Schizosaccharomyces pombe: one gene and its partners. The gene in region 2 interacts genetically with the main gene of each other region. Each region holds a gene or a part of one and is shown on either strand. Other genes may lie near its edges.

What was found.
Region 1: mutations in cid12 (region 2) and mph1 together harm fitness more than expected from each alone (negative genetic interaction), as found in Schizosaccharomyces pombe (2 studies listed by BioGRID).
Region 3: mutations in cid12 (region 2) and ers1 together harm fitness less than expected from each alone (positive genetic interaction), as found in Schizosaccharomyces pombe (2 studies listed by BioGRID).
Region 4: mutations in cid12 (region 2) and nda3 are lethal when combined (synthetic lethality), as found in Schizosaccharomyces pombe (2 studies listed by BioGRID, with this or other methods).

The regions. Positions count from the first base shown.
Region 1 is NC_003423.3:371,759-376,803, reverse strand, and holds mph1 (dual-specificity protein kinase Mph1), read right to left. Parts: upstream 3,011-5,045; 5' UTR 2,916-3,010; coding exon 879-2,915; 3' UTR 512-878; downstream 1-511. Other genes in the region: srx1 (sulfiredoxin), read left to right, coding at 1-342; F-box protein Pof13, read right to left, coding at 3,255-4,445. UniProt on the Schizosaccharomyces pombe protein: Involved in mitotic spindle assembly checkpoint signaling, a process that delays anaphase until chromosomes are bioriented on the spindle, and in the repair of incorrect mitotic kinetochore-spindle microtubule attachments.
Region 2 is NC_003421.2:1,653,665-1,660,615, reverse strand, and holds cid12 (poly(A) polymerase Cid12), read right to left. Parts: upstream 4,971-6,951; 5' UTR 4,948-4,970; coding exon 3,937-4,947; 3' UTR 3,535-3,936; coding exon of another isoform or gene 3,100-3,534; 3' UTR 2,986-3,099; coding exon of another isoform or gene 2,071-2,985; 3' UTR 1,982-2,070; coding exon of another isoform or gene 833-1,981; 3' UTR 536-832; downstream 1-535. Other genes in the region: SPOM_SPCC663.15C (uncharacterized protein), read left to right, coding at 1-334; trp663 (TRP-like ion channel protein), read left to right, coding at 833-1,981, 2,071-2,985; NatA N-acetyltransferase subunit Naa50, read left to right, coding at 3,100-3,534; splicing-associated factor Saf1, read right to left, coding at 5,904-6,740. UniProt on the Schizosaccharomyces pombe protein: Has a role in the RNA interference (RNAi) pathway which is important for heterochromatin formation and accurate chromosome segregation.
Region 3 is NC_003421.2:799,188-805,065, reverse strand, and holds ers1 (RNA-silencing factor Ers1), read right to left. Parts: upstream 3,909-5,878; 5' UTR 3,870-3,908; coding exon 3,839-3,869; exon of another isoform or gene 3,803-3,838; coding exon 3,727-3,802; exon of another isoform or gene 3,688-3,726; coding exon 3,639-3,687; exon of another isoform or gene 3,600-3,638; coding exon 3,550-3,599; exon of another isoform or gene 3,527-3,549; intron 3,495-3,526; coding exon 3,080-3,494; intron 3,035-3,079; coding exon 1,755-3,034; intron 1,706-1,754; exon of another isoform or gene 1,705-1,705; coding exon 1,657-1,704; exon of another isoform or gene 1,620-1,656; coding exon 1,509-1,619; exon of another isoform or gene 1,467-1,508; coding exon 1,185-1,466; intron 1,135-1,184; coding exon 1,048-1,134; intron 1,007-1,047; coding exon 565-1,006; 3' UTR 523-564; downstream 1-522. Other genes in the region: rRNA processing protein Ipi1, read left to right, coding at 1-439; protein Fta4, read right to left, coding at 4,448-5,007, 5,082-5,223. UniProt on the Schizosaccharomyces pombe protein: Involved in RNAi-dependent heterochromatin formation and centromeric silencing.
Region 4 is NC_003423.3:3,963,547-3,967,635, forward strand, and holds nda3 (tubulin beta Nda3), read right to left. Parts: upstream 2,428-4,089; 5' UTR 2,379-2,427; coding exon 2,367-2,378; intron 2,331-2,366; coding exon 2,281-2,330; intron 2,230-2,280; coding exon 2,188-2,229; intron 2,147-2,187; coding exon 2,092-2,146; intron 2,003-2,091; coding exon 1,117-2,002; intron 1,032-1,116; coding exon 730-1,031; 3' UTR 546-729; downstream 1-545. Other genes in the region: protein Sdh8, read right to left, coding at 1-69; GTPase Grn1, read right to left, coding at 3,154-4,089. UniProt on the Schizosaccharomyces pombe protein: Tubulin is the major constituent of microtubules, a cylinder consisting of laterally associated linear protofilaments composed of alpha- and beta-tubulin heterodimers.

The DNA of each region.
Region 1 (5,045 bases), on a different chromosome or scaffold from region 2:
ATTGTTGAGCTTGATATGTCTGAGTTAATTCGTCCTATACCTCCTGTTTTAGATATGAACAAAGTCAATAGTATGATGGAAACCATGACAGGGAAAACTCCTCCAGCTTCATGCGGTTTGACTTCAGAAGATTTGGAAGCTGGTGAGCTTCCTCCTGTTGATGTTTTAACGTTTAAAAAGAGTGGGAAGCCTTATTATTTTGCCTTTGGGGGCTGTCATCGACTACGTGCTCACGATGAAGCAGGGCGCAAAAAGGTTCGCTGCAAATTGGTAAATTGCTCCCCTAACACTCTACGCCTGTATCTGGGTGCTTCTGCCAATAAATTTTTGGATAGTGATTAGATTTAACTTAGATTTTTTCACAAGTTTTTTTAGGATTATCGATATTCCATTGAACCTGTTTTATTCCCTTCCTGCACCAACATTTATGGCGTTAATAATCATCTCTACCGGCGGTACATTATTTTTAAAGGTTTTTGTTTTACATTAGTTATGGGGTTTTTTTTTAATGTCTAATATAACCCAATTATATTAAAAAAGTTTCTTATAAAAAAGCATCATTCATTTGGTTGCTTTACCTAAAAAAAACAAACACAAAAAGGTATTATATCGTAAACAAACAACTTATAGCGTTTGGGAGTATAGCGTTCTTTATATTTACATAGTATCAAAGTATAGATATCAGGGGCCATATAATATGTGGTTCATTAATCAAGGTCATAATTACCTTCTTTTAAAAGAGCGAAAAATTAAAGATTAAAAAAAAAAAGCCTTTAAGCTCCCTAAAAAAGTCGTTAACATTAAGAAACTCGTATGATGTTTGGGAAACTTTGTAAAAGATAAAACCTTTTTAAGAATAATCGGAAAATTTAGTGCCTCTATTCTGGCATTTTTCGTAAATTGCTAACGCAATCATAAGCCATGCTATCAATAAGTTCCTTATTTAATCGCTTGTGCTTACTCAACTCCACCGACCTTTCTATAATCATTGATAATTGAGAAGCTGAGATTTCTGTGCTGAGTCTAAGTGGATGAGCATTATTGGTGTGCCCAGAAACAGGTAACGGCTTTTTGGCCAAAGGTGTCAAATAGGATGGCAAAGGGTTTAAAAAGGGATGAACCAGCAATTCCGGTATTGTAAGTCTCTTCCGTTGATCCCTTTCCAGGCATCTTTTCATAACATCCATTAGATCAGGCCCGACAGTTACACCTGGCAACGATCCCTCTTTCTCCTGGACAGCATTAGCAGGTAAGGCAACTTCGGGGAAATGAATGTGATATTGTTCATTAGGGATAGCTGCTATAGCTTGGATCATTTTTAGATGAGCAAACGGGGCCCTCCCATACACCATCTGATATAATATACATCCCAAACTCCACACGTCGCTGGGCCTGCCCAACTTTACGAGTTTCACGCCAGAGTTTGTGTGAGCATTCATGTCTGTCAAAGCTTCAGGTGCCATATAATTAATAGTACCGATGTGGGAATCACGATGGATATTAGTGGTGTCATTACCAATTGCTTTGGCAATGCCAAAATCAATCAGCTTCAAATTCCCTTCTACAAGCAGGAAATTGGCCGGCTTCAAATCCGAATGCACTATATTTTGATCATGAACTACCTGGACCGCCTCTAGCATTTGCTCCCAATACATTCTGATGAAATTAAGATTAATGGGTTTCTTCATGTTTTTCATTAAAAGGTTTGCTAAATCCGTTTCTCCGCATTCCATCACCATATTGAGTTGCCCTAAAGTATCATTAACTTCGGCAGCATATAATTTAATTATGCGATCATTGCCTGAAAGCTTTCTTAATAATGCAATTTCGTTCTTGTATCCTTGTATAGTAGTTTGGTCTGCATTAATAAAGTTCACCTCTTTCAAAGCGTATAAACGACTGTTATCGGGGGAAAATATGCGATATACCATACTACTTCCACCCTTTCCAACAACTCCTAATTTGATAAATTGTAGATTGGCAACAGTAACAACGTCCTGCTGACGCTTGGGTATGGGAGTAGCTTGACTGTTATCAAATAACGGAGCCACCTTTGGAGAAAGAGCATGAGATTCATATGGTTGAGAAGCAGAACGCTGAGGCTCTTGGAAAACGGTGACTGGACGAGAATGAAGTTCACTAGCTCTTCTTTCAACATCGTGATCAAACTGCACCCTAGGAGAAAAAGAGCTCTCAAACTGAGAAGGATGAAAAGAAGGTTTGGGATGCTCCTGGGATGTTTGCAAAGGAGTGTTATGCAGCTGCAGAGGTTTTAAAGTTGTTGCAGCAACAGAGTTGGAAGCTGGTGATACTTCTCGAGATTTCATTTCAATATCCTCATCTGCTTCTGTAGAGTTTTTGGTATCGGAAGTCTTCGAGGGATCCGTCAACGTGTACTCAGCACGCTTTGGAGGGCCTAATCCAATTCTGCCGATTCTTCGTCGTCTTGAAATTGATAAAGAACCGGGGGTTTTGTTTACACTTTTAGGTAACAAATCATGCTCCGAATTAGAATTGAGATCATTCACTCCTGCACTGAGTGAAACTTCACTGTGAGACGCATTAGTAGAGGGCAAGGGTGTTATTAAATGCTCGAAATGGTGCATTGACTGATATGCTGGAGTATTCACTTCCTTCAAAGCAGAATTTTGTCCTCCATTTCCTTGCAAATCAAAATTTTTAGTACGAGGATGTGAGACCAATCTCTCTAAAGCAGTTGCACCGCTTGACTGCCTACGCAACGTATCCCCAGTAACGGTGCCATCAGAATGGCTACTCTTGGAAGAGAAAGTGTCATTTTTGAAGTATAATTCTGGATCCTGAAGCTCTTCGAGAAAAGAAAGCGAGTCTTCATCTAAGGAAGAATCTGACACCAAGTCCGCGATATTAGTCACAGGAGGATTGCGCTTAGACATAAACACAGTTACTAAAAAACGAGCATTCCAAACCGAATTTCCAACTGTTTGTTAAGCGTTAATCAATAAATTTTTACTTCGTTATAAGAATAGCTAGAAAAGACGAACAGCAGAGCAACCATTAGTGTGCACATTTCAAAATGTTATGTTACTACAAAGATCACCCTCTAACGCAATGCTAGCTACTTCAGTGTATATCATTATTTTACGAGTTTCGCATGGTTATGAAAACGAAAATTCTGAGTAAGAATGGCATAAGATCATTATTAGACTAGTCATGAAAGAAAAAGAAGAGTTGTGAAAGTAAAAAGTTTTTTCACCTAGGTCGCCTTGCCCTTACTATATCTGTGATTGAGGCCATTTCCATCCAGCCGCTAACAGCTTCCTGCGAATCTTTTTGTGGTGAATATGGTTCTGCTCTTGGAATTGGAACAAAAGACTTCTAGGACTGATCTGATGCCATTGGGCGGCCTTGATCTTATGGAAACAAGAGTCTTCTCTTTCAGGATAAACAACACCTAAAGTAGATATTACACGGTGTTGACGAGCAAATGCTTGTATTTGCAAATCAAAATCCAACGATATGCAGGAAGGACAGACAAATGAATCGCAAACCAAACAACTTCTTAAATCTATGCAATAACGACAAATCGGCTTCTTCCATTCCCTTAAGCAATAGATACAAGCAGGGACTTTTTGCAAAGAAAAAAGATCGGCAAGCTCAGTTTCCTGACCTGCAATTTTGCATGCATTCAAAGGGCAACGTGAAATATCGCATTCGACTGGGTTACCATGAGTAGTTGGTAAAGCGTCTAAAGCATTTTGAAATAAAATTACTCGACTATGCCAATTGCTTGTTAATGTGTCATCCTCAGAGCCATCAAGCAAAACAGGTTTTAGTAATTCTAATCCTTTAACACCAAGGACGTATAGATTTTCCAATGAAAATGTCCTGCTTTTAGAATTTTGTAGAAACTCAATGAGAGATAGAGAGCAAACACCAACACACCATCTTATACTCAAGGTTTTAACGGTAGGAATGTTCAGCAAGATATTCGTTACACTAGAAATGGTAACACCTGTTCCGTCTAAAGCAATGGTCTGAAGTCCCTGGAATTTGGCAAGCATTGACCAGACAAATGAATCGCGAAGTTGGAGTTTTAAAATTGGTGGGTTTCCGTAGAGATCAACTTCAGTAGCCCATTCTAAATCACTGGCAACAGGAACTGTACGTTGATAAGGTTGTAAATTAAGAAAATTGTTATTAAAACAGCATTCATCGACAGCTGATTTACGAAGCCAATAGTAAAACTGCCTACTTGAATGCATCAGGCGTAATATATCGAATGCATCAAGATAATTAATGATCAAGGACCATATGTCTCTGTTCAAGAGAAATAAATTGGAATTTTTTAACACAGGTTGAATTGGATCTTCCTCATGATTCCGGTTTGACAAAGAAAGGGTTGTGAGAGCTTCAGCTGTAAAATCCACTTCGCACTGATTACTCGACCAATGTGTCGGCCTCATAAAGTCCCGAAATACTTTATAAATTGTTATTTACACAATTTCTTTTAAGATAATGCAATTTTCGTAGCTTGTTTGCGATTCAGCAACTCTTTTGCTAACGATTTTTTCAAAAGAGAACAATTTATGCCGAGGAATGTTAAGAAACGTAAAGAATGTGTTTTTTTAGATTCAAAGATTCCGTTTTCTTGGTTGGAGATAATCTTATTCGGGAAAAATCAATAATGAACCTCGTGATAATTATAATTGACAAATACTTTTTGTTTTCAAGTGTTGACGTTAATGAGCTCCTGTTGATATATATAAAACAAGAAATTCTCTAATATAGTCCCAAAAAAAATCCCAAAATCATAGAATTGGGGAAGTGGTTTATTTTTTCAACGAAATGGAGTAGGTTAGGGTGTTTTAGGAAAAGAGGATTGCTAACAACATCTTCATTCTCTAGAATTATTCCCAAACTCAACTGTTATATTGATTAAAATAAATTCTTTTAAAGACAAGAATGCGTTTTGCTTTGACTTGCTGATTGCTGTAGCTATTCACACTTAAAGGCGCATTGGGTTTCTTGACATTGGAGAGCTTCTGAATTAAACAGAAAGAATA
Region 2 (6,951 bases):
TTTAAATACCTTGGATGAAGAGACAAAACATCAAGTTTTGGAAGAAATTGGTGATTATGTGAAGGAACTTGATGAAGAAAGCAAGAAGGCTATTGAGAATAAAGATAGTACTAGTGAATGGCTTTTACATCTTTATAACTTCTTTGGGTCCGCAATTATTACACCCACTACAGCTCATGGAGTACCGCAGCCACAACTTCCAAATTGTGGAATGAAATTAAATAGAACTAAAGAGAAGCTGCTGACTCCTTTTCGAAATCTTTTAATGGAGCAACTCAACGAATTACAAGCGAAAAATCAAGAAACGCCTTCAGAAATGACTTCAACAGAATAATTTTATTACTAATTGAGGTCCAAAACATAATGACATAAAATCAAGTGAGGCTCGCACATTCCATCATTTCTTCTCACAACTACAAATGAAATGAAAATGCATTTCTTTTTTTTATTCTTTACTAATGATACATTCTTTACCATTATATTGCTTTTTTCATAGTGTAAAATTGTGAGCGTAAGAACAATGCTAAGATGGTGGTAACTAAATAAACGAAGCCACGTTCTGTATTCTTTTTCGTAAAAATCTTAAAGCTTCAATCGTTTCATTACTATTTATTTAATCCTTGTATTTAACTCAATGCTATGGTTGTTAAAAAATACGACTGCTATTTCGTAAACATTACAGTCAAATTACGGCATTTGAGTTCAGTAGCATGTTTTTGTTATTCGTGATAGTTTGGTAATTCTGAGGAAAGTTCATTTTAATTTTTTTTGCATTCGTTCCAAAGTTAAACCCTCTACATAACTGGAAGGGGGATGTTAATGGAAAATGAAAATGAAGCTAATACTCTTAGCTTACTTTGCAGTTTTAAGTAATATCTTATCGTCAGTGGAAGGTCGAGTAAGATATAGTAAGAGACCAAATCACAAACTTGGAACAGCCGAGTACGCAGAATGCATGTCAAATGCCCCGATAGTGTTTAATCGGTTTGATGCAAGTTATTATACACGAAACTTGTCAGTAGTCTTTAATATTCTTGGATATTCATCTGTGGACGCAAATGTTACGTTTGATATTATAGTTGAAGCTTATGGAGAGCAGAGGGCAAGATTTACTTTCGACCCTTGTGAAATAAATCTTAATACTGTGTGCCCAGTTGCAAGAGATACAGCTATAACCACACAGGGAATACTTCCAGTGAGCCCTCAAGATGTTCAGATGATCCCAAAAATTGCCTGGGGAATTCCTGATTTTGAAGGCTTAGTGCGTTTTCGCATGTATCGCTCAGAAGACATCGCAGCGTCATCCATCGATAATTCTACACCACTTGCGTGCATGATCGCGACACTTAATAATGGTCATACGTTTAAAAATAAAGTCGTAAAAGCTCTAAGTGGAACTGCTTTGGCATTGAGTATAGCAGGCGTCTTAGGCTTTTATGTAATTGGAATGGAGCATAGCACCTATCTGACACGTCAGGTTTTCATCAATTCCGTTCCTTCTTTGCAGCACATGGGAGAGCTACTTCAATGTATAGCTTTCACGGGAGCAATTGGAATTACACAGCCAAAAGTGCTAGTCGCATGGGCTAGTAATTTTGCATGGATTCTAGGATTTATTACCAATAAAGAGATAGAAAACAGCCTTGAGTCTTTTAGAAAGCATTCCAATGGAAACCTAAGTTCTCCAAAGATAGGTGGAGTCCATCGAAGAGATGCTGTTGCAACAAACCCTCAAAGCCCGATTCCTGGATTTTACCATGGGTTTCAAGGCCTAGCCACCGAAGTTGGAACGCTAACAACGAATTTATTTACACTCACTTTAATATGGTTTTTGATTTCTTTGGCCATAGCAGGAGGAATCGTTATAATATTCGTACTTATTATTAAGTTTCTTCGTCAGACACGTATAATCGCAAAATCTTCATGCGATTATATCACAAGGTATTGGTTTAGAGTACTTTTTAATGCTTGTATGAGATGGGTAAGTTAATTGAACAAAGGAATGAGTTGTTCATACATAGCTCTTAACGACTTTTTTGCTTTATACTTATACTAATCTGGTTGATATAGGTGTTGGTTTGTTGGCCTGTATTGGTAACTATGATAATTTACCAGTTTACACTTAGGGAAGCATATGGCCCTGTAATATTGGCGGCTTTGCTTCTGGCACTGCTTTTTGGGCTTTTCCTTTGGTTAACTATCAAAGTCATAAGAGTGATAACAACGTCAGGCTTGAGTAACGAGGACAATCCAGAAACATTGATAAGCGATCCAAAAATATACACATGGTGGGGATGGTTATATTTGGATTTAAAAGAACGGCGATGGCTCTATGTTTACGCCTGCTTTGCACATTATTTTAGTTTTGCATTGGTTTTAGCGTTAGTACAACAGTTTGCGAAGATTCAAACTATACTTCTATTTGTTATTGAAATCATCTCTTTTATATTGCTAGCAGTGTTTCGGCCTTTTGTTGGTTTCAAAAATTCCTTTTGCGTCTTTTTGGTTGCTCTCACCCGAGTGGTTTCCTTTGCTCTTCTCATACCGATAGCATTTGATTTAGCAATCATTCCGAAAGTGATCATTGCAATCATTCTTATCATTATACAAGGGCTGGTATTTTCATTTATGGCCCTGTGGAGCCTTTGGAACTTCATTACTATGCTAGGTACAGCATGGCCAGCCATTAGCTACACAGTCCCTTGGCTTAGAAGATTAATAGATGAATATCAAAGACAACTTCATATTGACTTTGAGAATCCTGCGGTTTCTGCAAGTGAAAAGCTATCCACCGAAGAGATTATCCCACAAGAATCAAATTTTGAAGAGCCCTCTACCACAAAGAAAGAAGGAAACGTAGACACAAAGGAAGATGGAAATGACGATGTCTTCAGCCTTGTTAACGCTTCTCCTATGCGACCAGCATCTACAATACCTTCACATTCATGTGACAACGGGATTAATGAAATGCAGCGTACTGTTTAAAGATTTTATCGTGGATGTTTCCAACTCAAACTATTGCATTAGAATGCCTTAAAGACTGAAAGTTGACAACACCAAGTACATATAGAAAAAGATATTTGCATTTGCATAAAAAAGATGATTGAACTTGATGCGATTAACCCTAATAATCTGAAAATCCTTGAAGTTATTAACGAAAAGTGTTTTGATCCTGAAATCATTATATTTCCAACCTCCTTTTACAAAGACACAATCTCAGTCGGGCCTTTAGCACAATATGCGTACTTTAACCAGGTCTGCGTAGGAGCTGTTAGATGCAAAAAAGAAACACATAATAAATCGCACAAAATCCAAATTTTATCTTTGGCAGTTTTGCCAGCCTATCGAAACCGTTCTATTGGTACCAAGCTGTTGGAATATGCTTGCGAGACTGCAGCTGAGGGAAAAGCCAAAGAAATTTACATTAAATTAAGCCCTAAACTCGATGTATCCGAATGGTTTATTCATCGGGGATTCATTATTGATGAGAGCTCCAAAACAGAAGATAGCGTCCTTCTTTCGAAAAAGCTATAGATTGCACACACATTTATTAATCTAAGTGAAATGCAATTATTAAATTGACTTGAAAATCTAACATGGATCCTTGGATAGATTTTAAAAGAATAAAATAGATTTAATTTTGAAATTTTTAAAGAACAGATTTTGTTAGCACCTTCAATAGGTACAAAATGTGATATCATTTGAAACAGCCGAACCTTGCCTAAGTAAAATTAAAAGACTTGAAAATGACTAAGATAATTGTAGGATTCTTATATCCTATCAATAATAAGAATATGAATCCATTCAATTAAACAAGAGTAAAGTACATACGAACTGTAGTGAAACATTACCACATGCGGCAAGACAACTTAGGAATTGAAAAACAAATGTTTATTTAAACAGCGAGCATTATTTTTTAAATGCATTAACCCGCAGTTATCCGCCAGCTTGTAATTCATCTGATTCCGTATCACTATCATATCCCTCCACCAAACTTCGTTTAGTATTTATAACATTTTCAAACTGTTTACACAAAAACATTTCATCTTCCGTAATTGCAAAGGTGCTAAACCATGTCTTATCGGATAATAATTCATTAGCTGAAGCAACAAATGCAGCTTTAATCATACTAATTTGAAATGATTGCTTTCCAATGTCGTTATTTCTGTCAATTGGATCTTCAATAGATAGCAAATTTGGTTGCACTTCGTTTAACCAGCCCTTTTGTAGCTTAGGAACTATTTGACCGGTTAAAGGTCTCAATACAAAAAGTTCGTATGTCCATTCGACTCCCCAAAAATAGAAGAATTTCTGTAGTAAAGCTCGAATTGGTTGCACTTCCGAATCAATTCCCTTTTTGTGAAATCGCATTTCAAGCCAACCAATTAGCATATAAGAGAGCGCGCAACTTGCAATCCCGCCATGATGAACGTTTTCCAAATCTCTTTCAAACAACCAGTGCTTCAATAGCATCAGCAATCTACCAAAAATTGGGTGTTCTTCGTTATAAGCTTTTTGCAATTCAGCAGTTCTGCAAGCTTTGTCATTTCCAAACGTCAAATCCACCCCAATTCCACTAACATCTACTAAATTGATGCGAGGGACTCTGGCACTAGAATGGAAATCAGCATCAGCATCCAAGTACTTTCTTAAAACCATGGTGACGCGTCGTTTCTCCAATTCTCCAACTCGAGGTGACTTCAAAGATACGTCTACATCACTTATAGATAATGTTGTTCCAATATACATGCTACCGTATACTTGAAGTTCAGCATCCAAAACGACCTCCCTAATGTGAGTCTGTAGTTTCTCTAACAAAAGCTTTCTGTACTTCAATTCCTCGATTTTCGGGCTTACGAACTCCAAAAATGAATAAAGTCGAGCATTATCACTCAAACCTTCTTCATTCCATGGTACTGAATGCAGCTCTAACAGGACTTTACCCATTCTTAAGAAATGGCATTTTGGCTAATTTTAATATCAATGGATTCAATTTCATGGCTCCTCGCACATAACGAGGTCGTGCGAGTGCCTTGTAATTATATGTAAATAAATCATTTTATAGCAAAAAAAAGTATCACGAGTTTTTAATCAATAAATAACTTATTTGTTTTTATAAATAATAGAATGATTGACTGCAAAAGCTTCCTAGTCTCATACAGCATTTATAGCGAAAACCAAAGATTATGAACCCAAGAAAAGCAAGCAAAAGATAGATAAGTACTCCCTCATCTCTCATTGTGCAAATTTTAACTTAAGCATGTGTATTTCGATTTTTAAAGGTTTCCTTTATGATATTTTTATTTGATAAACGAATTCGTTGGTTTACGCATGTAAATACTGTCATGGCGTCTAAATACATATGAAAATAAAATAAAATTAATCCAAGTAATTAGTCATGTACTTCTTTCTTTTTGGTAATCTGATTCGTAATGAACAGTGTAGGACTAAGTGTAACAATCATAATTTAGCAAAAGACAAATTCACAAAAAACAGTCAACTTGAAATAATCACGGAAAGATGAATATAAGGTGTTTTTTTGAAATCCCCTTTCGCTCAAGCAGTGTAAAAGTGACTATAATAAGGAATTATTGAACCAAGAAAACATTAATAAATATCATGCAATAACACAGAAACAAAATCTCCTTTGTTTTTTTTGGACATCAAAAATTTGAAATTATTGACCGCATCATAATAATAAGCCTTTGAATTAACTTATGAAAGCTCACTCATAATTGAATAAAACAAAAAAACAAGTACAGAGATGCAATCAAGCTCCTTTAAAATTGAACCTAGTAAACAGATATTATATATAAATTAATATGCATGTTTATTAACTAAAAATTCCGTCTACACCCATTTGGTAATCCTTACTTCCAATCTCCATAATTTTAACGACTTTTTTATAGATATCCGCCAATTTCTTTGTAGAAATTATCTATTTCTTCATCCTTGTCTTCCTGAACTTGGCTCGATACATCCCTGTCTGGCTGTCCAATTTTCTGCCCCTTGGCTAGTTTTTGTCGTTGAAACGCAGCAGGTAAAAATTGAGCAGCTTCTTGTCGTAAATCTCTGACTACCGGCTGAGCTGAGTACTCAATCATAGTTTCCTCTTCAATGTCCTTCGTATTTGCAGCAGCTTCTGTCGTAGTAGTGGATTTTGGTTGTGCTGAACTTGCATTTATGTCTTGCTTTTTGTGGTGCTTTGGCTTAAAGCTCTTATTTTTCTTTTCCCTTGGCTTTGGATCCTCAAAAGGATATTCTTCAGAAGGTAAAGGTATATCAATAACGGATTCATCTGTTTCTGAACTTAGTTCTTCCTTCTCACGATAAGGCATTCCTGGCGGCGGAACTCCGTAAGGATTAAATATTGGATCATAATATATACTTCGTTTTGGGTTTTTAGGGATAAAAGGCTTTCTAGGTTTATGTTGACGTTCTGCCTCCTTAGTCTTGTCTGACTCAACACGCCCAACTCTATGTCCATGAATGTTTTTCTTCTTCATAATTGCCATATCTCTTTGCAAATTTTGTAATAATTGCTTGTCATGTGCATTTAAAGCTTGCGAAGATTCTAATTGTGTCAGCTCTGATAATTGGCGTTCCATTTGGCTCATATTCCTATGCGACAGTCGTTCTTCATGGCGTTTTGCTCTTTCTTCTCGCACTTTAATTTGTTCTCTTTTTTTCTTCTTTCTGCTCTCCGCTTGAACGGGATTTAATCCCCGTTTTGACAGCATTCTGTAGAGTCAAGTATAGTATGGGTTTAGAATGGTGGTGATCAAAAACGTGACATGTATAAAATATTTAGGCAAATAGACAAAGAATAGTATTAAATTGGTTTGAGTAATCGACCGTTTACATTAAATTTAAATAAAGAATAATTAGTAATGTTGAAGTTGATGAGCTAAAAACTAAAGTTAATAGGCTGGTAATTAATTGTGTATATAG
Region 3 (5,878 bases), 850 kb from region 2:
CGAGGCGTTTAGATCTCCTTGTTCATTTGCATATTTGTCGCTATTCAATCCAAATAAACACGATCTTGTCGATAACCCTACTTTCCGTTGGCAGACAATATATCCTTTAATACCTGGAATTATAGAATTCATTAGAAACTCGTGGTCTGACGCTTGCCCAGTTGTTAAAGATGGATCCAACTCTCCGTCTGCTTCAAAAGTTTGTAGAACGGTTTTATCGATGCTTGGATTGTTTACTGAACAAGTTTTCAGTGTAGCTGATGAACCCAACAATCATAGGAAGAAAATATCTCAAGTTTTAAGAAAAATAAATAGGGACATAGAGTTGATAAATATCAATTATGGAACAGATTCCGAATGGAGAGGTGTATTGAAAGGATACGATAAATTGCGCGAGCGTGCAGTGGAATTGGATGCATTGGAGAACCCGGGTAAATGAAACTGACTCTATATGTTTCGTTTTAAATGGGTCCTCGCATTGTTTTAATTTAAGAATTTGGTTTGAGGGGTTATTTATGTTAAGTGGTATAAACAAAATTGATATTAACGCATAAATAAAATTAATTAAATAGTAGGGTGTATCCCCCCTAATTGATTCACCATAATAATTGCTGCAGTATACAAGTCTGAAACATTCTCAGTAATAGCCCCACCAATGAATTGTTTATTTGCAAGTTTCCACGGAGCCGTTTCTCCTGCGCGTATACTGTTATTATATTTGAACTGAGACTGCATGTACACACTTTGTATACTTAGACTGAAACAGGATTCTATAGGTTTGCTTTCCTTGGATCTGTCGAGACAAACGAAGGCTTCTTTGGAATTAATAGATGACGGGCTAATGTCATAGCTCTTAACTTTTGAACATTTTAATATAAATTCTAGAGAGTGAGGGAGTAAATTTTTGTTAAAAGGTACAGAGTTTTCATTAATTCTTGTGACCGAATGAATTATTACTCTGTCTTCCATATTTCCAAAGACTAACAGTAAATCCTTATTTACGTTTCTAGTCAACTGATTAGTCGAAGCTTTCAGAAATTGACATACCTAAATCTAATACTTTTGGAGAACTCTGTAAGTATCGCATCATTTAAAGGGACTTTCGTTTCGATACGTAGACGGGAATCCCATAAGCTATAAGTCATGATTAGTTGTTTTTTTCCTTAAAAACATTCATAACATACGCTAAAGGAAAATTGATAGTGCAAGTAGAAGATTGCTTAGAATCTTTATAAAACGCAAACTGATCTAACTTTGAAGAACAAATCATCGAAAAAAATACAGTGGAATCCTCTGTCTTGTTTCTCTTATCATCTGTAAATAATAAACTTCCCTTGAAAACAAAGTAATTCTTTGAATCTAATACTTCATGCTCTATTAAAGGATAAGTATACTCAGTACGTCCAAACAAAATTTTCACAGGAGTATTCAATAATGAATCGATATTCGAAACTGATTTGGTAATGCTTTATAAAAAGGTTAATATAACATATGAAGACTCAACCTACCAGTCTGCAAAATATGATCGGGGAAGATTCAAATCCTTATATATATTCATAAAACCATGTGAACAAGCCGACACATCTGATGAGATATTTGGATATAGTATGACGCCAAACCTGTTGGATTAATATTTATTCAAAAATAAACGCATACTCTAAATTCAATTCAATTTCACCTGAAAAGGATTGAAGTACATGCAAGCTAAACAAAGTGTTAGACTTATGTTTACATATTTAGTCAATACCACAGACCTTCTAGATAACCATCTGTGCAATGATTTCAAATTCATGTTGTCAATCTCTTCGTGATTAATGTATTTTTCAGAGCATACTATTTTTGGTTGAAATAAGTATAAGCTTCCCACACCGTAGCTTGATACCGGATTGGAAGACATTAGAATTGTATAATAGTTGTCACCAAGGTCGTCCATTTTCTCATCTTGTAAACGTAAAAACTTCATGTCAATTGAAGGAGTTAAGCTGCCAGATTTTGGAGTGGAACAATCTGATCCTTTGTCAAGCTCTAAACATTCTACACTTAATAGGTTTTTAGACTTTGAATCGTCGAAATCCAATTTTGCGCAATTTTGTCGCAAAGATTTATGAACATCATTAGCGTTAACTTCATTAAATTCATTTGAATTGACCAATTGAAAAGTCTGAGACTGTTTAGTTATTGCTTCGTCAACAGTATTACCATCCGAAGAAACAGAATATCTAGTAACCAGCTCTTCTTCAGGTTCCAATGGTAAAGTATTGCTCGTAGGTCGAGGAGGAAGCTGAAATTTGAACCGAGGAGGCTGCTTGCTATTAGACTTATTAATTGAATGCTCAATTGCAGTTGTTTTATCTTGGAAATGGGTCAAAGATGAAGTTCCTAAAATTTGCTTATCAATCGTGGGTAATTTATTCAACTTGTTCATAATCATTTCTTCAAAATTTGACGGATTATTCTGGTTAACAACAGGATCAACTGCTCTCCTTCCTTGATGAATTGAATTATCAGATAATTCGGTTGACGAAGAATGAAAATTTGACGGCTTTTGTAAGACTGGGATCGACAAATTGGATGAAGTTTTATTTAACTCGTAAAATCTGTGCGCTGGTTTCGGAGAAGAGAAGTTTAAAGAAACACCTGCAAATATTTTACATCCTATCAGCTTTATATCATCAGAAAATATTTTAAAATTATCATTACAGGGAGGGGTTTTGGAAGGATTTTTAGCAAAAACTGGTACCAACTCATAAGAATCACCATCATGTTTATTTCTCAATAATCTCATAGTATAAAAAGATCCAAGGATATTGAAAACGCTTTTGAAAATAGATGTCGTATGCATAGCTGTGTATAAAATCTCGTTTTCAAATTTTAATTTTAGAAATTTCAGTTGGCAGGGTGCAATCTTTCCTGCATAAACAAGAGTTTCTTCAGGATATTCATAGACTTTCTGGGACACTAAATTCTCTATATGCTTCATTTTCTCCAACATAGCATTAATGTCCTGATCGTTATTGGCTAATACAACTATTTTCTAGTCAAAAGTTAGGATGGTAGAAGTATCTTCACAAATACATACATTATCTTTTAAAGAAGCCTTGTATTTTGTGTTGGTAGCATGCGCAAACTCCTTGAGCAAATCATTATTGTCGGGAAGGTAAAATAATCGCTTGAAACTCCCGTTGTAAACAGTAGGCGAATAAATGACCTGTTTAAAATTTCCTTCCCATTCAAAAGGAGTAATGATTTTAGGTTTTATCAAGCAAGGAATATAAAAATCGGAGGATGTCGGTTTCTTGCCCACTTTAGACTTAACAATGTCCTCATTTTCTTTTATTTTCACATCTTCAATACCGTATCCTAAGTCTAAGTACCTTTGAAAATTCAATAAAGTAGTAAAATCATAATGCAATTGCCCGAATGGATGAATATCTAGGCGTGGTTTCTTGTAAACAGTTGATTCGCGCTTCAACTTTTGAACTATTTCCTCAAAACTAGCATGTTAATTAATATTTAAAATAATATTTAGGATGAACGCATGGAACTTACAGACTAAACGCTTCTCTTTTGTGTTCCTCGTACACTATGACTTTGAATTGCTGAATTATTAGCGTCAATAGCTAGGATATATAAAATACCTGAGATGAAGAAGAGTAAGAAATTTTTACTTTTCCATTATATTCAGAACTATATCATCAGTAATAGTCCATTTGCGCAAAACCATACTTTATACAATTTGTGAAGGAGGATATAAATTCAGCATTTAAAAGCAACGCTGTATCGATATAAAATTTAAAAAATCCTAATATTAGCAAAAGAATGATACACATTGACTTACCAGATTGATTGTTTGCAGATACTTTACCCATCACTCATTTCATCGAGCTTACAGATGGTACATGCTATATGCAGCTTCAGAATATAAGTGAAGTAATATGAATTCATTAGGAATATAAAGCTTTATGAATTATCAGAAGAAAAGAAAAATAATTAAATCTATAGTTCCTTGTATGTAGGTATTATAATTGTGATAAAATTAATGTTAACGTACTTACAATCGAGAGCTGAGTATTTGAATTATAAGCTGTAATGATTCATTAAAGGTTAGAAACACTGTAAACTAAAAAATAAAACTAAGACAATTGTTAAGAAACGTATTTTGTTTAGCGGACACTCATTTGTAAATAAAAATGTGTTGTCTTATCAACTAACTTAATGCCTCCCAAAGCTAGGAAATCATTAACCAATAAATATCTGAACGTAAAGTAGAAGCTTCAAAGTTATTTCTATAGCCCCAACATTTCTAGTAGAGTCAATAAAATCCTTAAACCAGGAAATAAGGCACCCTCTCCTCCAATTAAGTATTAGTCATTATTTCAAAAGCAGATGATGAGATGCAATAGGAGTTCATGAACATCATTCCCTCTCAATTTCTACGAAAAGTTTTTTAATCATCAGAAATAGTTTTTTCGAATAATTGGCTTCTGATTTCGTCCTCCAATGACGCTTCCTGATTGTCATTGTTTAAAGAAGGAAATGAAACCCCTCTGAGAAGAGAATTAATTTTAGCTACCATGGTGTTCGTACTGTTGAGGGTTGATATCAATTCAGGGTTTTTCTTCCACATATTCGTATGTATTGAAGAAGGCCCATCTTCAAAAGGTTCCAACATTTTTTCGATTTGCTCAAGTTCAGAGCGCTCCTGTTCTAATTCTGACAACGTTGTTAATAGACCAAGTAACTCTCCCGTAAGACGATTGAACTTCTCTTGCTCCTCATCCTTTTCGACAGGTCGGGATTCTTTTTGAAAAGGCCATGGATGGGGAAGTGATTTTACACTGTCTAAATTGCTTAAATCAATTTCTCCATAAAATAATGGATTTAAAAAGGTAATGTCCTCAATAGCGCTATTTTGTTCATATAACTTTCGTATTTGAGCGGCAACATGCTGAGTTGCTTGATGTGAATAATTTAGCTTTGCATGCTTTTGGATACGAAGTTGCAATCCTGTTTTGGTTAATAATAATATTTTGAACTTTTTATTTGTAGGAGAAATCCAGACAAAAGCATGGAACACGTACGTTGGAATACAGTTTCAACGACTGATTCTGAAAGCTGACCGGATTTTAAAGGAAGTTTCCAATCCTTTGGAGGGCGCATAGGTCGGTTCAACAGCCGTATCTGTCGTTCCATGAATGATTTTTTATGTTCGTAAATATCCATTTAGGAAGTAAATTTGATTTAAATCAAGATTATCAGGATTAAAATAAAAACAGTTGAATACTGATCGAAAAACAAGTCAATATGGTATTGAAATTAACAAAGCAAGTTCACGCAAAGGCAACAAACTAACAGCGACTTTTGAGCATATAGACGTCTTCAGTGTAAGCACTTCCAAAATTAATTACTTAACAAAAAAAGACCAAATCAATCAGACCTTGGCTGATGGTTGATTAATGACAAATTTTGAGAAAGTTACAGGAGACTAAAGAAGTCGAAAAGTCGAGCGACTAAATAGAATACTTTGAATGATGTTAAAATGAAGATTTTATGTACATAATCATTAAGCTAGCTCCTTAGAAAGGACTCGTCTAATGCGAGTTAAAAAATTAGTGCATATATCAGTTCTAAGATATAGCGAAGAGAGTAATATTCTATGAAGGATGAACCCTAGAGTATAGTGTATTGTGAAGTTGACCTAGGATATACCATTAATATTGAATAGCATTAAACATATTTATTTATCCTTAAAACTAATAGCTTACAAAAAAATTCAGATTTACAAACAAGCACCCAGAATTGGTACATATACTCTACGGTGGTAAAACGTAAACGAAAGCTTGGTTTTTACAATGTAGTACCATTTAGGTTATTTCGA
Region 4 (4,089 bases), on a different chromosome or scaffold from region 2:
ATGCAAACATCTTGTTAAAGCTTTATTGTAATTTTTAAGAATGACAGCACGTAAATTACGATTAAACATTGTTTTGGTGCGATTGCAATGTAGTAAATAAAGTTCCTAATATACTTTTATATGAGTAAATTTCAATTTCGGCTTTTCGAAGCCACTCAATATTTCTCGTCGTTGACAAAGGCGAATTTAGAAAGTGGCGGATTGTTATACTGGTGGACGTTTATAAGTACTGGTATATCAAACGAGTTTACTTTCACAAAACGCAACATAAATACGATACGTAGCAGTAGGTGATAATTTAACTAAATTAATAGTTTATTGAATTTACAAATCTCACTGCATCTTTTGGTTCTACTTTTGGGAATTGACACTTAAGTATTAGACTTGCTTTATACATTTACTTTGTAATAGTCAAATATCTAAGCATATATTAGGGAATAGTAAATAGCTTTAATTCGTACGGTTTGGACTTACAAAAGTACTTTACAGACTTACTCGTGTTTATAGTACATTTCCACCTTGGTAGCCAGGCTAAAGCTATATTTAGAGTGTAAGGAGCATTTCAAAGCTATGAAAAAAAGTAAAGAGCGTTTAGCACAGACGATGCTTGGAATCCATATGCATCGGAGTAAAATAAAGCATTTCAATGAATGTAGGAAAAAAGGAACGTAGATAAACACTATTTGAAAATATATGGCACACTTGGATTATAAAAAGGGTTATAAGGGTTTAATACTCGAGAGGCTCCTTCTCTTCTTCAATTTCATAATCTTCATCACCCTCATCGATACCAGCCTCCTGGTATTGTTGATATTCGCTAACCAAGTCATTCATATTAGATTCAGCCTCAGTAAACTCCATTTCGTCCATGCCTTCACCAGTATACCAATGCAAAAAGGCTTTTCTTCTAAACATTGCAGAAAACTGATCACCCAAACGACGGAAAATTTCTTGGATAGAAGTACTGTTACCAATAAAAGTTGCAGACATCTTGAGATCCTTAGGAGGAACGGAACAAACAGCTTTGAGGACTATTTCGAGGTTAGCAGATGAGCATAAACAAGTAGAAAAAATAAACTAAATATACAAACGACGTTTTAAACCAAGTAAACATACCATTATCGGGAATCCACTCAACGAAATATGCTGAATTCTTAGTTTGAACAGAGCGAATTTGCTCGTCGACTTCTTTCATTGAGACTTTACCACGGAAAAGAGCGGCAACTGTTAAGTAACGGCCATGGCGAGGATCAGCGGCGACCATCATATTATTAGCATCAAACATTTGTTGAGTAAGCTCGGGCACAGAAACAGCTTGAAATGAGCTTGAACCGATGGCGGCAAGAGGAGCAAATCCTACCATGAAAAAGTGTAAACGAGGGAAGGGAACCATATTAACAGCTAATTTACGCAAGTCAGAGTTCAATTCACCAGGGAATCGGAAAGATGTGGTTACACCAGCCATTACAGCAGAGACAAGATGGTTCAAGTCATCGTATGAAGGACTCTTGATTTTCAACGTGTTAGCGAAAATTGAAGAAAGAGCCTCATTATCAATGCAAAATGTTTCGTCAGAGTTCTCTACCAATTGATGCATAGAAAGAGTAGCATTGTAAGGTTCCACAACGGTATCAGAGCTTTTAGGAGCAGGAGCAACGGAGAAGGTAGCCATCATACGGTCCGGATATTCCTCGCGAATCTTCGAAAGTAAAAGAGTACCCATACCAGATCCAGTACCACCACCCAAAGAGTGAGTTAATTGGAAACCTTGTAAAGCATCACATGCTTCAGCTTCACGGCGAACAACGTCCAAAACAGCATCGGCCAATTCAGCACCTTCAGTGTAATGGCCTTTAGCCCAAATATTTCCGGCACCAGATTGTCCATAAATAATATTGTCCGGGCGGAAAAGATTTCCAAACTTTCCTGACTTCACGGCATCCATAGTACCGGGCTCTAAATCAACAAGGACTGCGCGGGGAACATACTTTCCACCAGCGGCCTACAGTCGTCAGTACTAAATAAACAAAAAAAAATTTTTTCAAAAAGTTTTAAGCAACCGAACACTTGTAAGAAAGCAAAAAAACCTACCTCGTTAAAATAAACGTTCAATCGCTCGTGTTGTGCCTCAGAAGTTCCATGATATCTACGTAAAAGTCAGTAAAAAAACAAGCAAAATAGACCTACATTCCAGCTGAATCCAAACCATGCTCATCAGCAATGGTAGACCTTCCAAGCGTTAGTTGAGAGAAACGTTATAACAAAGTAGATTTTGCTTACCAAAAGGCCGCACCGACTTGGTTTCCGCATTGACCAGCTTGAATATGAACCTATTGATTAGCTTTGAATATTAAAATAGCTCGTACAATCTCACGCATCTAGACTAATTTATGGTGGTTTGTTTTGATGATCAGTTTGGTGGTAGGTGAGTTTCGTTAGGAGGAACGGATTGAGAATACCAAAAGTACCAAATCGTTTTTATACGTTTCAGAAATTCTAAAAACACAGTTTATTGCAGTTATTTACTAGTAGGCTTTTAAAAAAAATTTTTGTGTATTTATTAGCCGATTGTTAATTGAAAAGAATCAAGTCTTAAATCATTGCTTATTAAATAGTTTACTTCTTTTATATACAAGCTTTTTTTCTTTTCTTTGGTAATGTATGTAACTTTATTTATTCTTTAGTTTATATACATAATTATTAACTGCTAAACAGATTAATTTGATATTATGCCATATTCAGTAGTAGCGCAAAATAGTATGGTTAGAATTGTTTGTGTTTATCCTATCAATTGATATAAAAATGAAATGAAACTTATAACTGCACGTTAGTATCAATGTCATTTTCCGTACATATTCAATTGACTTTATTTAAGCCAGCATGCATTGATTTAATAATTTCCCGTATTAGCGAACCTATTACTTAAAACTTCTCCCATATCAAACATTACTTTTACAAGTAAATGTAAAACAACACATTCAAGAATACGGCATATATGCAAAAAAAATTATTTATATATTAATTCAAAAAGTAATAGCTAGTAACCATCAACACCTAAAGATTTTTAAAACCCGAAGAAAAACCGCAACCGAAAACCAAATCCCAAAATATAAGCTCTAAGCAACAATAGCTTTTTTCGTAAGTTGAAAACTCTCAAAAATCATTAAGGTCAAATTCTTTGGCCCACTCAGTAACGATTTGAGTATCCTGAACTTCAGATGAGTTCTTTTCGTTTATAACCTCAGGCTCGGCCCACCATTCGATACGACCAGCATGCCAGTCATTAATGACAATATTGGCAGCAGCGTTAAGATTTGGAATTCCACCGCGACCTAGACGACCACGCTTACGAGCAATATTGACTAAAAAATCAGTAGCAGTGTCTATATCGGATGTATTCAATAGAGGAGGAAGCTCATATCTTTGAAACATTCTTTCCAATTGTCCTGGAACTCTGCTAAGGAATTGCAAAATGTAAGAAGCAACGGCAACGGGATCATCAACTTTGGTGGATGAAACAGCATTAAGCATTACAAGACGATACAAATCGTCTTTAGAATCACTAGAAGGAAAAACAATACCAGGACTATCGACCAAACGTAATTTGTTATCTAGCTTCACCTCTCGCAAAGAAGTAGTCATTCCGGCAACGTTTCCGGCAGGACAAGGTGCAGAACGACCATTCGCAGAACGGTTGACAAGAGCGTTAATAACAGATGATTTACCAACGTTGGGGTATCCAATTACACCGACTGTAAGAGAGCTTTTAAGCTTCTTCTTGGCTGAGTAAGACTTGAGTGATTTAAGAAGATTGGAGATAGTGGAACTAGCAGAAGCCGACTGGTGCTTTAAATTTGAGTTTCCAGATCCTGAAGCGGAACGCATAGGAATCGTAGGAAAGAAATTGCGGAGATAGGTAACCCACTTGTTGAGTACTTCTGATGGTACTAAGTCAATTTTGTTGATAACGAAAATAAGACGCTTTTCTTCAGCAGAAGATGCTAAAACTTGACGTTCAACGTCTTTTGAACGAGTCCCTTCAGGATCACGAGCGTCAAGAACGTAAAGAATCACATCTGACGCTTCAAC